2 linked regions of the Lonchura striata genome follow. The protein of the gene in region 2 interacts with the protein of the main gene of each other region in a biochemical or structural test. Links are inferred from orthologs where the notes say so. Each region holds a gene or a part of one and is shown on either strand. Other genes may lie near its edges.

Region 1 (7,389 bases), on a different chromosome or scaffold from region 2:
TACCTCAGCTCTACTGTCCCTCCCCTGATTTCGCAGATTGTCCTCTGACAGGTGAGTAAAGAATCGGTAACTTTTAGGCTCTGGACTCTACATTTCACCCCATTTGCCAAAGGCTGGGACTGCCCGTCCCTCGGTGACAAATGGGAACAGACAGTGTACCTGTGGCAGCTGGTGGCAGCTCAGAAATAACTGTTTTGAGGCCGATGCTGGAGATGTCTCGCAGCTGTTCCTTGTCCGACAGCATGTTCGTGCAGAGTGTGTCCACGATGGTCTCCACCTGGTACTCCTTCACTTTGCCAACCAGCGGGCCCAGGCTGCAGGAGGAGAAGCCACTCAGGATGAAGTGTCCAACTGTCCTCATCCTTCAAACCATCACACTGCTCCTTCTTAAAGATCCTGGCCACCTATCTGGGAATGACTGACATTTCGCTCTAAGCACCTCCTTAGGCACGGAAAGGAAATATTCCTGGTTCCATTTTGAGGCCTCCTCATTATCACACTCTGGATGGATAAGAGACTGCAATGAGTATGGACTTACTGCAAATACAACCAGAGATAACCACGCAAAGAAGTTGAGAAGTTGGTCCTCTGCTCAGTGCCCAATGGTTTTGCTTTAAAACCCAGAATAAACCAACCCAAAGCAGATACAGGAGATACAGGAGCAGGGCCAAAAGAAGTCAGGACAGTTGGAATCAAAAAGAAAGGACCAAAGATATCAGGGAAAGAACAGGGATAGAAACAGCACGTGGTTGAAAAGAAAGGAATACTAATAGGATCCACAGCAGGAAAAAACAGAGGAACCCAAAGTTGTCTTTAAATGGTACACCTTTCTGGAGTCCTGGGGTGAACTGAGCCATTCAATGGCATTTCTAGACTGAACACGCCCACTTAGCCATGCTAGGGAAAGAGATGGGAAAGAACATGTCAGCAGCAGGATCCCTTTATCAGAGGATTCACTAATAGAGGAACCTGCTACTTTTGTTCACTTGGATTAAAAAAATATGGGAATGGTCACAGGCAAAGCAACAGCACCGGCTGCTCTCAAGAGTCAAGGCAGGGAAAAATCCAAGTGCACTATAAAGTTCAATAAAAACTCCTTTGAAGAGAAGGATTTGGACCTGAAGTTAAAGCCTACTATGTTTAGTACCATTGCTATCAAAGACAGATCTACAGAGAAAATCAGCACTGGATTTCAAAGCCTGAGAGAGGTCAAGAGGTTGATGAGCAAAATTTTGAAGTATGCTTCTGCCTGAAGAAATAAAATCCTAGGGCTCCACCTTCCACATGGTAAGGTTTGTAACAGGAACACTGAAGTACTTCTAAAATCATCTCTTGCTGCTACAAAGGTATCTGTGTGCTCACCCTTGTGAGTGCCTACAAGGGGAGAAAGTGCAGTGCCTACAACAGAGAAGCAAAGTCCCTTGCAAAGGAGGTTTGAGGGAGGTGTCAAGGGCCAGGCTCCGCTCTCACACTCTCTGCAGTCTGTGATGATTTTATTAATGCCAGGGAACATAACTATTACTGCCTAGGCTCTTACCATTTGACAGCAAGGTTCTGTACTTCCCCATTTTTGTCCTCCAGCAATTTCAAAAGCATTTTCACAACTTTTTTCTCACTGTCTTCATCTAGTTTTATTGAGTCTTTCTGCAGTTCCATCATCAGGTCATTGGTGGCCATAAACCTGAAAGAACACAAGGAGAAAGTGGATTGGCTGATGTGCAGACACAAATGCATCACCTTTGCATCACCTGGACAGAATTTGGCAACTAGTGCTAAAACACTAGTTGAAAACACACTACCAAAGAGTAACTTACAACACTGTCCTAAGAAAAAGGAAAATTAATACTATTTTACAAGTAGATAACACTTACAACATAACACTAGATAACAAGTAGATAACACTAACAGGGGTCAGGTAAACAAAAACTCTAAAAGTGGCATGTAGCATGTGTATTTTTCTCAGCGACTAAATGAAGATGGTTAACTATGCCAGAAAAAAAAATCATGATTGGTTTTTTAACCAGTTTTTCACCTGGCCTAGGAAAAGCAGTCTGGGGACTAAGAATTCACCTAGCTCTGTTCTTTCTGTCTAACTTAGCACTGGTAGTATGACCCCAGACATGGTCAAGCCCTATCACTTTCAAAAATGAAAAAAGAAAGTCATGACTTCAAGCAAACTACACCTCAGAAGTGCACTAGGCTACATTTAGATTGCTGTGAGCAAAACCAGTCAAGTAACTACCATTCCAGATTAGAAAGAAAAACAAAGACCAAATTGACAGTTTTCTAACAGGAACAGAATGGATATTGAGAAGCTCTGGAAAGTATCTCTTTTTCCAGGAGCAGGAAGTGCAGAAGGTGCTGTTATAGAACTCTGAGGTTCTAAGAAATCTCAGTGTGGCTATCGTGTGTTAGCTGCTTTCCAATGTTAGCCCCACACAGAATGGACGTCTGACAGGAACCAGGAAGTCCTCTCTTGTTACAAAATGACAGCTCCTTTTTAAATTAGGCTTTGATGTCACTCATTCAGCACATAAGAGCTCTCATGTACAGGTCATCATTTGAGGCTTCAACCTGCAAGCCCGTTCCTGAGCAGCAGTGAGGCACACCTGAACGAGGGACTGCTGTGCTGTTCCCCAGCCAGCCCAGAATCCAGCCTGAGAAAACAGCAGTAATGTGCCCTAGGATGTTAACGTGCAGTCTATTTGTGATTCTGCGAGAGCTCTTCAGCCGCACTCTGCAGTTCAGCGTCTGTGTGGAACCAGCATGACCAATTATGGCCACAGGCTGAACAGAGCCTTCCGCGGCAACACATCCCGCTTTGGCCTGGCTGCCTGCTGCCATCCTGCCCCAGGAGCTTGGGATCTCACCAGCAGACCCATCCCTGAGGGGCAACAAGAGAAGCCTGGCCCTATAACAGGTCATGTTTAGCCATGTGCTGGGAGGAAGTGGCCCTGCAGTACCTCTGGGACATGACGTGCCTGGGGTCGGGCACATCTCACTTGGAGTGGTAACTTTCTTTGAACAAAACTGTTTGTACAACTGCTCCATCACTGACTTCTTTATAAAGTACCTATTTTAACATCTGAGAACATCAGCAGCTTCTACAAAAATCAACCTACTTTTAGGCTATTAGTAGCCCCTTTCTTAGACCTCAAAATACCAAGTCTGGCCCAAATATTACCTTCCAGTTTGATACTGGGAGAACAATATGCTAAGGAATGAAATCTTTCATACATGTCAGTTTTAATTACTTTTTGATAGAGTGCCTTACATATCGAGCCATCTGCCTAACCCTAAAAAGATGTCAACTTTTCTGCTGACATAAACAACGAAATAAAAGTATCTCAGTTCTGTTAGGAAGGCACATTTTCCCATCACAAAGAAAGTTCTCCAAGCAGCCTGAGCAGAGACAGTATGTGCAGCATCTATCACGCAGGGTCATGGGGGTCTACTCACCCCTTTTAATGCACTGACTATCTCACCAATTATCAAAAGAAACTAGAAGCATTTCTGCTACGATGTTCTTTATTCACAAAACAAATAACAATTTGGAGTCCAGCTGCCCGGACTTATTCCCCCTTCCCCTTTGACCAAGCACCAGTCTAGGCAAGGGAGGGGAGCGGCGCTGGCCATGCCCCCTGAGCCAGGACACAGTGGGCTTGATGCCCCGTAAACAACAGCGCTGCGAGCTCCCGCACAGCGCTGCTGCCGCGGCAGGACCCCGCTCTGGGCAGCCCCCTCCTCCCAGGGCCCCGAGGTGTCCGCAGGTGGCTGCCGCCCGCAGGGCCCGTCCCGCGGTGCCACACCTGAAGTCCTTGTCGGTGGAGGTCATCTTCTCCAGCAGGCTGGAGATGTGGTAGGAGACGCTGGCCATGGCGGAGGCTCTGCGGGCCCGAGTCGCGGCCGCTCCGCTCCGCGCCGGGCGGCCCCGAGCCGGCGGGAGGAGCCGGGCCGGGCGGCCCTGGGGCCGACAGAGGCTCTGTCCGCGGCCGGCGCAGGACGGGGCAGCGCCCGGGGGCCGACAGAGGCTCTGTCCGCGGCCGGCGGTGCCTCTGGTCCTCGCGGCAGGACAGGGCAGTCCCGCTCCCCCCTCGCCCTCTCCTGGCCCAGCCGAGGCAGCGGCCGCCCCGGAACCCGGCACGAGCGGAACGCCGTCGCAGGCGGGCGGGGCGCGGCGGGGCCGGTAGTGCGCGGGACCGGCGTGCCACGTCTGAGCGCGCGGGCGGAGGCCGGGCCGGGAGCGCCGGGGCCGGGAGCGGCGGGGCCGGAGCAGCCGGGCGGGAGCAGCCATGGTGAGGCGGGGGGGGCGGGCGGGTCCCGGTGCGGGCCCGAGCGCAGCCGGGTGCGGCCTCGCGGGGCACCGGGCACGGCACAGGGTACGCCGGACCCGGCGGGGCGGCCGGGGATGGACCGGGGCCGCAGGGGCCGCGGCCGCGCTGAGCTCGTTGTGTTCCTTCTCCCCGCAGGTGTCGGTCATTAACACCGTGGACACGTCCCACGAGGACATGATCGTAAGTGTGCCGGGAGCTGCGCCGCCCGGGCCGGCGGCTGCTGTGGCAGAGCTGCTCTGGGGCTCTCTGCGAGCACTCGGGGCCGCACGTATGTGCTGTAAGAGCGCACTTGTGGGGTCCTGGATGCAGAATGCGGTGTGAAATCCTGATCTTGCCGTTTTATACTGCGTGGAGAGGAAAACTTTGCTGGGAGGAAAAGGGAAAATTATTTTAAATCTTAATGTTCATGTGAAAATTAAGGCTTGTTTCTGCCCGTTTCTGTGAAGTAATAGTATATTTTCTGGTACAGACCTTTGGTGGATAATAATGGTTTTCCTTTAAGTGGATGTATCTGGGAATAGATGTATTATTGTGGGTAGGCAGAAACGCTTCAAAGTAATTTGTTGAAGGTAGGAGCCCAGTTAGGTGAGCCTAGTTCTTCAGGAAGAATTTCTTCACAGAAAAGGCTATTAAGCATTGAACAAGGCTGCCCAGGGAGGTGATGTAGTCACCATCCCTGAAGGTGTTCAGGAAATGACTGGTTGTTGTATGCAGTGTTCTGCATAGTGACAAGAGATAACCTTTGGTCAAAGGTTGTAGTCAGTAACCTTGAACGACTTTTCCAGCCTTAAAGATTCTGTGGTTCAGTGATGGTGAAGTTTCAAATATAATTAAGAGCAGTATTTGTACACCCACTTGACATTTTAAGAAACAGAAATACATAACTGCTCACCTCTTCGTAGTCAGCAGCCTCTATTCCCTGTCATGAAAATGCTGTGGTTGTTGCTCAGAATTCCCTGGACTCCTGTGTAACTTTTGTGTAGTGATTGAGGAAGCAGCTGGGGAAGCTAGTTGGGCATGCGTGGGTTGTTTAGAACCGTTCCTCTGACCTGGTGTGCAGGGCCTGGGGTGGCTGTGCTGCAGCAGTCAGTGGCCGTGCCGTGCTGAGCACAGCCCTCCCGCTCTCCTTGCAGCACGATGCACAGATGGATTACTACGGCACGCGCCTGGCGACCTGCTCCTCTGACCGATCCGTGAAGATCTTCGATGTCCGCAACGGGGGGCAGATCCTCATTGCGGACCTGAGGGGGTGAGATGTCACACCAGGAGAGGTTAACTGGGGCAAAATCTTGGTGCTTTGCCTGGTGCTTTGCCCTTCTGCCCTTGGGCAGCACAGAGTGCAGGTTGACTTGCATGCAGGGTGAACTCCTCCAAGACTGCTGAGGAGCTTCTCAGAGCTGGGGTGGGGACAGAGCCCCAGTGGGAAGCACAGTGGGGCTTGATCATTCATTTAGTACTGTGCACATGTGATTTTCAAGAAGTAATATACTGCTACAAGTTGGAATTGTTTTCTGTGGCAGTGAGAGCCCTGTGCTGGGACACTAACATTGCCATCTTGGCATTACTCATTCCTCATGTCAGAGCTCTAATCCCTCCCAGCACAGCACTTCACAACGGTGATCTGTGAGGCAGCTGCAGATGCAAGGGGTTTCTCTCAGCTTTTCCTAATGATGTTGTTTCTTGCAGGCACGAAGGTCCCGTGTGGCAGGTTGCCTGGGCTCATCCTATGTATGGGAATATCTTGGCTTCCTGTTCCTATGACAGGAAGGTTATCATCTGGAAGGAAGAAAATGGCACTTGGGAAAAGACCTACGAGTACACGGGACATGATTCTTCAGGTATGGAGGGCTGGAGTGTGGAGCTGGGAAGGAAAAATGAGGAGATGAGGGGATTTGGGTAAGACTGATATAAATCTGTTACTGTTAAGTAAGAAAGTCTGTGTCAAAAGGAAAAGGATAAAAACTGAAGAGAGAGTAAATCTGTTCAGCGCTAACAAGACATTTCCCTAGGGTTGTATTGCTGGATAACCCACTACTGATTCATACCATGTGTCCATAAGTGTTGGTACACAAATAAGTCAGCTTTCAAATAAAGATGTCACGGAACTGAATTCTTGAGGAAAATATAGTTTACAGTTAGAAAAACTATTTAACCGTGCTGTATTTTGTTTTAAAATTGAAAATGTTGTGTTCAGATGATTTACCCTCCCAATGCAGATCTGTTACTCAGTAAACAATGCTAATTGGCTGGCTTCTGCTGAAATTTGACTCATTCTCAGCTTTCAAAGCCACTTGCTTTTGGTGACCGTGCCACTGATACCAGTCAGTGAATTGGTCAGTCAGCTTTAGGTAGTCGCTGTGCTGTAATCTGGTCTGTCTCGCCCTTCCCAGTGAATTCTGTCTGCTGGGCACCACACGACTATGGACTGATCCTGGCCTGTGGGAGCTCTGATGGGGCCATTTCCTTGTTGAGCTACACGGGTGATGGGCAGTGGGAAGTCAAAAAGATCAGCAATGCACACACGGTGAGTCTGGTCCTTTGGAGCAGCTCAGAGTTCCCAGAGCTGCAGATAACACCGAGGTGATGCCTCAGAGACATGAGTAGATAAGTACTGAAATGTGATGAAATTATGTGAAACATCCAGAACCAAGAATAGTTTCAGTTCATCCAGAGTAGGAAGGTATATGTTTTAGTCACTAAAATGTGAAATGTAAAGTGGAAATATGATGAAGTTCACTAAACAGCACTGGCAATGCCTGTTTATTGGGCATTATTGTTAAATACACTGCTGAAAGCTACCTGGTAAGAAATGGCCTTGGTTCTAAGTATACATGCATCAGCTGGAAAAAAATGTGGGACTTCTGTTTTTTTCCCAAAATTGTGTAGATTTTTGTTTAAGTAGAACATAATAAGCTAATGGCAGTGGCCAGCAGAAGGAAATTCAGCTTAGGACCAAAGGTTCCTTCTAGTCCTGTATTCCTAAATCTTAGCAACTGCATGTGCCTTTTATCTTTTCCGTCTCTATCTCCCATATTTACATATCCAAGATGAACTA
Region 2 (7,365 bases):
GGGACTCAGCATCACTCACAGACACATCTCCTGGACCACAGCCTATTTTCAGGCTAACTCAATAGGAATCAAACATACTTCCAGAAATTAACACTATTGTGCCCATCTGTAAATACCCAAATTCTCTTCAAGTCAATTAACTTCCTGCATAAGCAAAACAGCATTCCTGTGCACTTAGCCATGCAAAGAATGAGTATGTTCTGCATAAAATTACACAACTACTTACCAGCTCTTATGCAAGCAGAAAGCAAACCCACATTGACTGGAAAGTGGCAAGGAGATACCTTAGCATTCACTGTAATGTTGCTCATCCATTTGTTACCTCTGGGCAATCTTCAAGTAATTTATTTAAATCACACCAACTTTAGCATGGTAAGATGGAGACTGCAGAAAGCTACCCAAAGAGCATATGCTGGGTGAGAAATACCATAACAGCCAAGTGTTCAGGCTCCCAGTATTGAGATTACAGAAGGGGTTCATGGAAGAATGCTGCTACAAATGGAAATTGGTTTGTGATATCAGACAGACCCATTCCTGGGTATGATTGTTATGCTTCTGCACCTAACTATGCAAGTTTACCAGAAATGAAGTAGCTGACAGGGCTGTCCAGGCATCACCACCAAGACTGAACAGGACTTAAAACAACCCAAAATGAAGGAAGGAAACAATGAGGAACAAACCCCAAAAATTAACAGTGCAATTACTTTCCTTTTGCCCTTTACTCTTTCCAAGATAAAGTATGGTTCTATAAAAGCAGTGCAAAACTTTGCTTGGAGGGCAATTAAGGATTTATCTTTTGTGGGTATAATCACCTGGACATTTTCATTTGCTGAAAACCAAAATACAGCCTGACGTATACATTGCTATCTAATCTTTAATTGGAAACAAACAAACAACCCTCAACCTCATTTTTAATACATTTTCTGGGGCAAAGTCAAATTCTCGTGTTGCTGGTCAAGGGAGGTACTTTCCAAGGAGCACTGCATCCTGGCTATAAGGAGTGCTTCTAGAAATTCAGAATGCAAATGACAAGTCTTGACAAATTTCACTCACAGTTAAAACAAGGTAGAACAACGAAACTCAAGATCCAGCACTGCCTCCTGCTCTGAGCAGGTCAGTAGGACATATTGACATCAGCTCTGCTCACAGAGCAGGGCATTTAAAAAGGGATTGTGGCTGTTTCAGTTCTGCCAGGGAGCTGCTGTGAGTGCTGCTGAGATGGAAACTGGATACTCTGATGCTAACAATATTTATCTGGATAAGCACATGGTGAGGAACTAAGTAGAGCTGTGCAGCCAGAAAATTGGCTTCCCAGCTGTCGGAACACACACAACATAACCCAAGTTAGTTATGCTACAGGAGTCCCCCTGAAATGCCTAAATACAAACAGGATGATGCAATATGAAAAGTTGCCACCAAAATTTCACATGTTCTTCTGTTTTCTTGTGAATCCCAGAGGCTTCCAAAGATAAAGGCTCCACACATATAGTCAAAAATTTTCTGTTTATGTCAAAGCATGAGCTACTTTCTTACAGTCCAACATCACTGTCCCACAGTATCAACTGCACACACTTGCCTTCATCTTTCAGTGCTGAACTGCTTCTCTCCTCAACAAGTGCAGTGAAACCACATGAAGTGACATCTCTACACATACCACACATAACAGTTCCACACACTGTACTTTTCCCTTACAACACTGCCTACCTGTGTGAGGAGGAGAATGTGGCACAGCTCTTCATATCCAGTGAAGGGTCTGCTAAGTCCAACTCAAATATTTCTAGAGAAGCACTTGTACTGAAGGTTGCATCCAGCTGCTGAGCTGATGTACCTGCAAGGAAGCACACCTGGCAGTGAGAGAGCCATGATACACAGAGCAGTAACTGCAAATGCAGCACAAGGAGGGGAACAAAAACATCATCCTTTCAAAAACGATCCTGAGATGGACTCAGGCTTCTGTTTTTATTACTTAGATGCAGTTCCACACAACTTTCCTCCCCATGGCTCTTTCTTTGGATGTTTCTTAAAGAATATGAGCAGGAAAATATTTGGGCAAGTACCTCCCTGATGATGCACAGAACGCAGTTAAAGTGACAAAGGAGCCACAAGTGACTAGTACTTAGGATTGGTGTCACCTTTCCCTGGCAGAAAGACAAGGGTTCTCACTGTTACTCGCAGAATGCAAAGCATGTTTTTATCAGCACAATGCAAGAACTCAGCTCAAAACCCCACAACATATACTGCACTCCAGCCCTCAGGACACAGAGTATCTCCTACAGCTTTCAATAACCCCTTCATGGCAGCCACCAAACAGAGCCCGAGGTCTGCTAGCACGTGCTGCCCAAAAACTCACCTGTAGCCAGGTAAATGGGGTGCTGCTGGGCAGGGCTCCATGCCTGCATGGCAGTACGGTCTACTTCCTTCAGCTTCATTTTGCTGAAAAGTAAGACCAAGACAAGTGATGCTTAAATGGTGCATGGTGAGACTGCACTGCCACGGATACAGAAGCCACTTTAGGACTCGGCAGAAGCAGCCAGAGGGACCATTTTTCTAAAGATATCCCTCAGACAGACAGCCAAGCCATCCCCTCCAGAGGGCACCCGGCGGAGGGAAGGAATGCCTCTCCATTAGCAGAGTAACATTGACACGCAGAGGAAACTGACGGCTGCTGAACCTAACACAGGAAAACGTGGGCAAAGCTTCAACAGCTGTGAAAAACCCTCTTCTCACAGCAGCAAGCACCCTACAGCAGCTTTGTGCCTTAACCCACGAAACCAACCCAGCCCCGGGAAGCCGAACACTCAGCGGCTCGTTCCTGGCTCCCATTTCATTCCCAGGGCTCCCTCGCCTCGGGGCACCCCGCGCGGCCAGCGGGACCGCCACCCTCGCCCCGTTTCCGACAGGAGCCGGAGGAAAACAGCACTGAAACAGAGGATTTCGCCGTCCCTGCCCTCACATCGGCGTCCCCGGCGCTCACCCGTCCCCGGACCGCTCCAACGTGGCAGCCCCGGCACCGCCTCCCGGCCGCCACCGCCTTCCGGGCGCGCCCCGCGGCTTCCGGGCGGCAGCGGCGGGGCCGCGCCTTCCGCACGGGAACCGGGGGGCGGTGGTGATGGGAGAGTGTGTATGGGGATGTGCGGCCGCCTCCTTCCGCGCGTGTCCTCCGCGTCCCTCGGGCGGGAGCAGCCATCGGGCCTGGGGAAGAGGGAGACTGGTTAGGGGCGCCGGGAGCGGGGGGAGCCCGGCGCAGCGCCGGCAGCGCGGTGGCCGCGGTGCCGCCTGTCCTCAGCTCAAGGGCAGTAATCATGGCGTGCTCAGGATGTGAACAGCAGTGAGACTCATCACGGGACAGGGGCCACCTCGGGGCGGGGAACGGCCCAAGGGAGCTCAGCCGGCTTCCACAGCCGGGGGCCACAGTCCCGGACCCACCTCCTCACGGCAGCCGGGGCACAGCTGCGCTGCCGCCTCCCGCCGCCGCTGGGCTCCGCGGCCGCTCGGCGGGCAGACGCCGTGCGCGGGGCGGGCGCTGCCCGGACCGCATGGCGCGGCCCGGCGGGAGCACAGCGGCAGAGGCGGCGGGCGCTGCCGGCCCCGCTATAAGTAGGGCCGGAGGCGCGGCTCCCATTGGCGCTCAGGATCGCCCCTCGCCACTGGCTGCGCCCGCCGCCGCCGCCGCTCCCGGTTGGCTCGGGCCGCTCCCGGCCCCGCCGCCGCCTCCCGCGGTGACGCGGCCAATAGGGCCGCGGTCCGACGGCCCCGCCGGCCAATGGCGAGGCGGCGGCCGGGCGCGCGGGCGGCGGCGGCGGCCAATGGGCGGGCCCGGCGCGGCGCGCGCGCGGCGGCGGGTGCGGCGGCGGCGGCCATGACGCGGAGCTGCTCCGCGCTGGGCTGCACCGCGCGCGACACCGGGCGGAGCCGCGAGCGCGGCATCTCCTTCCACCAGTGAGTGCGCCCGCGCCGCCCGCCCGCATCCCTCCCTCCGTCCCTCCGTCCCTGCATCCCGCCGTCTCCCTCTGCCGCAGGTTCCCGGTGGACGCCGCGCAGCGCCGCGAGTGGATCCGCGCCGTGAACCGCGTGGACCCGCGGAGCCGCCGGGCGTGGCGGCCGGGCCCCGGTGCCATCCTCTGCTCCCGACACTTCGCCGAAGGGGACTTCGAGCGCTACGGGCTGCGGCGGAAGCTGCGGCGGGGGGCCGTGCCCTCCCGCTTCCTCCCCTCGGTGCGGGCAGGTACCGGGCGCGCTCCCCGACCCCCCCGGGGGTTCCGCCGTGTGCCGTGACCTGCCCTCTCCTTGCCCCGCCAGGAGCCGCCGGCCGCCGGGCGCAGGAGGAGCGGGACCCCCGGCCGAACGCTGAAGCAGCCGCTGCCCAGCCCGCCCGCCGGGGACCACAACTACAGCCTGCAGGGACAGCGGGAGCCGCGGCCGCCGCCGGACGCCCCGCGGCACCAGCAGCAGCCGCCGGCCGCCGGGAGATGCGGCCCCGCGCATCGGCGCAGGACCGTGCCGAGCATCCTCAGGGAGCTGGCGGAAAAGCGGCAGCTTTCTGAGGAAATCGTGAGTTTGCTGCAGGCGCAGTTTTCAGGTACTGCCGGGACGCTTGCTGAAGCAGAGTGCATTCCCTGGCCCCGGGTTCATGTCTTTGCTTAACCCGTGCCAAGGAAGAGGCGAGGCACAGTAGTGTAGTTGCTGAGCCCTACACTGCATGCCAGCCTTCAGGACTGAGTTGTTCCAGAGGCCATGCTGTTGCTTTGTATTCTGCGGGGTGTTTATGGCATGCATCCCTCTGTTTCCAGCCATTTATTTGTTTCGCTAAAGTTGACCTTTTGTGATTTCTTAAGCAGATTTGCCTCGAGAGTTGCACAGCTGGAGGCAGATGGCAGACTACTCACCAGAAATGAGGCAATTTGCTTGTCTTCTCCATCTCTACCATATTAAGGCCTATGATTACCTACGGAAGATTCTTCCTCTCCCTCATCCTTACAGTCTGACAAAGCAAGTTTTAAGTTATTCATTTATTCAGAATGTATTTCCAGTACTGGTGTAGAAATAGATGTAACGGATCTGTCCTGAAGCTGCCTTGTTACTTCCCTGCATGGTCAACACTTTCCTTGGCTTCCTACCACTAGGGTGAGAGGAGAGAAACTCGGACTATGCATGAAGGAAACCAGGGCTGCCTTCTTTGCCCTGCATGTCTCAGCCTTCTCTGCAGCTCGGGCATGGCTGACCATGTCCTAAGTCGTAAAAAGTGCTGCCTGTTGCTTCAACTTTTCCAGAATCATGTCTCCTAATCACATCCCTTTTTTTTTTTTTTTTCAGCTGGCTGTCTAATAACGAGGCTGCTGCAGGCTTCAGCAGTGACATTTTTCTCCAGCTTCAGGAAAAGGTGGAGAGAGGGGATCAGGCCTGCCGCTACTGCGCCGTGCTGGTACAGGATGTGTCCCTGCAGAAGCAGCAGGAGTGGGACCCACAGAGCAAACAGCTGACGGGCTTTGTTGACTTGGGAGCAGGCATCCTTGACGCTGACGAAGCTCCACTGGCGTCGGAAGCAATAATCCTCATGGCAGTCGGCATCTCGAGCCCTTGGACAGCTCCCCTTGGCTATTTCTTGGTGAACAGTATATCCGGCAACTTCCTTGCTCAGCTCCTTCGTCAGGCCATCCATAAGCTGAACAACGTTGGGATGATGGTCCTGGCTGTGACATCGGGTGCCTCTGCTCGCGGTGCTGAGACTGCCAGGGCTTTGGGGATCAGGATAGATCCCAAAAGGATTCAGTGCACTTTCCAGCATCCACCCGGTTCTGCTCACAGCATTGCGTACTTCTTTGATGTTTGTCATACCCTCCTGCTGATAAGGAATGCTCTGCAGTGCTTCCACAAGGTCGAGTGGCTCGGTGACATCATGTGGTGGCAGCATGTGGTGGAGCTGGCAGCTTTGGGTGAGCAGAGGGTGTTGGAGCTGTGCAGTCCTGAGTCAGGCAGGGCTGGGAGTAAAGGGAGTTACCACCTGAAGGTCAACCTCGCTACCCTGCTGTTCAGCGAGGGTGTTGCTGAGGCACTGGAGCACCTCCAGAAACTGGGCCTTACCTCATTTCAGAACTGCAGTGGGACTGTCAAGTTTGTGCGTCTGATGAGCTCGCTGTGCGATGTGTTTTATGGCAGAGGCCCCTATGGAAAGGAGTCTTTGCTAGCTGGAAATTTCACCAAAATAAGCAACCTCTTCGATGAAGCCAGGAGCTGCTTTATCAATTTAAAAGACTCTGTGGGGAGATACATTATTAAGAGCAAACGCAAACTGGGATTTCTGAGCTTCTTGCTCAACACTGAAAGCCTTAAGTGGCTTTCCTCTAACCACACATGTCAAAAAGGCACTCCTTCCCACCACCTCCACACACATGCCTTCAGCCTGGACCCCCTGGAGCAGTTTCTCAGGGCCCTCCACCAAGCCTGTGGCAGCAGCAGCCCTACCTGTGCTGTGTTCCAGGCTACTTACCACAAACTGCTGGCCAGCTGCAGCCTGGCCCCCAGCTCGCCACCCAGCAGTGGCAATGCCAGCCCCTGGAACGCATCCCCGTCTCAGAGGAGAGCTCTGACTCTGGGAAGCATTCGTGCTCAGTATCAGCCAGCTCCAGGCAAGACCCTGGCCCCAGACTACCCCTACAGCGCAGGCCTGCTTTTGCCCAGCTCTGCCCTGAGCAATGCGCTGACAGATCTGTCACTGCACATGCAGAGCCTCACCTGCACTGCTGGCTGGGTGGCCGAGCAGTTGGCTGTGGACTTGCAGTGTGAGGCTTGTTTTGCCTCTCTGTTTGAGGTGGATGAGAACAGGCTAAGATGCAGGTCAGTGCTCCACATAAAAAAATTAGGTGGCATGAGTCTGCCCTCGGCCAGTGTGCACCACATAACAAGCATTTCAGAACAAGTCCTAAACCGATATGGCAGAGTAGGAGGTGCCAACAAAAATACCAAGCTGTGGCATTTGTGTCTAGAACATAAAGTCTTCCAGGAGCTTCTGGGAGAAAGCCCCCTCTTTCCCACCCTCACAAACCATTTATTTGAGGGGAAACTGAGCATCAACAACCACTACACAATCTTAGTAAAGGAAATAACACGGTGTTACTTAAACATAAGAACACACCTCACCGAACACCTAAATTTGAAATACTCTTGTGGAAGGCACAAATTGAAGAGACTGAAAGGAAAGTATTTGTTTCCATCACCACAGGGTAGCTGTCAGTCAAGCTAAACCCACACATGGTCTTAGTGAGTATATTGTAATTCCAAGGATGGCTGTTCCTTGCTGAGCTCAGTGCTGGATAGCTCTAGGCAACATACATGAGGAAACAATGTTGGCAAAACTGGTGTTGATAA

Evidence for each region. The genes of interacting proteins can lie anywhere in the genome.
Region 1: the proteins of SEC31A (region 2) and SEC13 form a complex in vitro, tested with the Homo sapiens proteins (2 studies listed by BioGRID and IntAct, with this or other methods). The link is inferred for Lonchura striata from reciprocal best matches to the Homo sapiens genes SEC31A and SEC13.

What each region holds. Positions count from the first base shown.
Region 1 is NC_134614.1:23,854,810-23,862,198, reverse strand, and holds the start of SEC13 (protein SEC13 homolog), read left to right. Parts: upstream 1-4,196; 5' UTR 4,197-4,292; coding exon 4,293-4,295; intron 4,296-4,469; coding exon 4,470-4,514; intron 4,515-5,467; coding exon 5,468-5,583; intron 5,584-6,020; coding exon 6,021-6,172; intron 6,173-6,724; coding exon 6,725-6,858; intron 6,859-7,389. Other genes in the region: cullin-associated NEDD8-dissociated protein 1, read right to left, coding at 160-314, 1,538-1,681, 3,810-3,877. UniProt on the Homo sapiens protein: Functions as a component of the nuclear pore complex (NPC) and the COPII coat. At the endoplasmic reticulum, SEC13 is involved in the biogenesis of COPII-coated vesicles.
Region 2 is NC_134606.1:60,924,094-60,931,458, forward strand, and holds the start of SEC31A (protein transport protein Sec31A), read right to left. Parts: upstream 3,091-7,365; 5' UTR 2,975-3,090; intron 2,434-2,974; 5' UTR 2,430-2,433; coding exon 2,351-2,429; intron 1,829-2,350; coding exon 1,705-1,828; intron 1-1,704. UniProt on the Homo sapiens protein: Component of the coat protein complex II (COPII) which promotes the formation of transport vesicles from the endoplasmic reticulum (ER).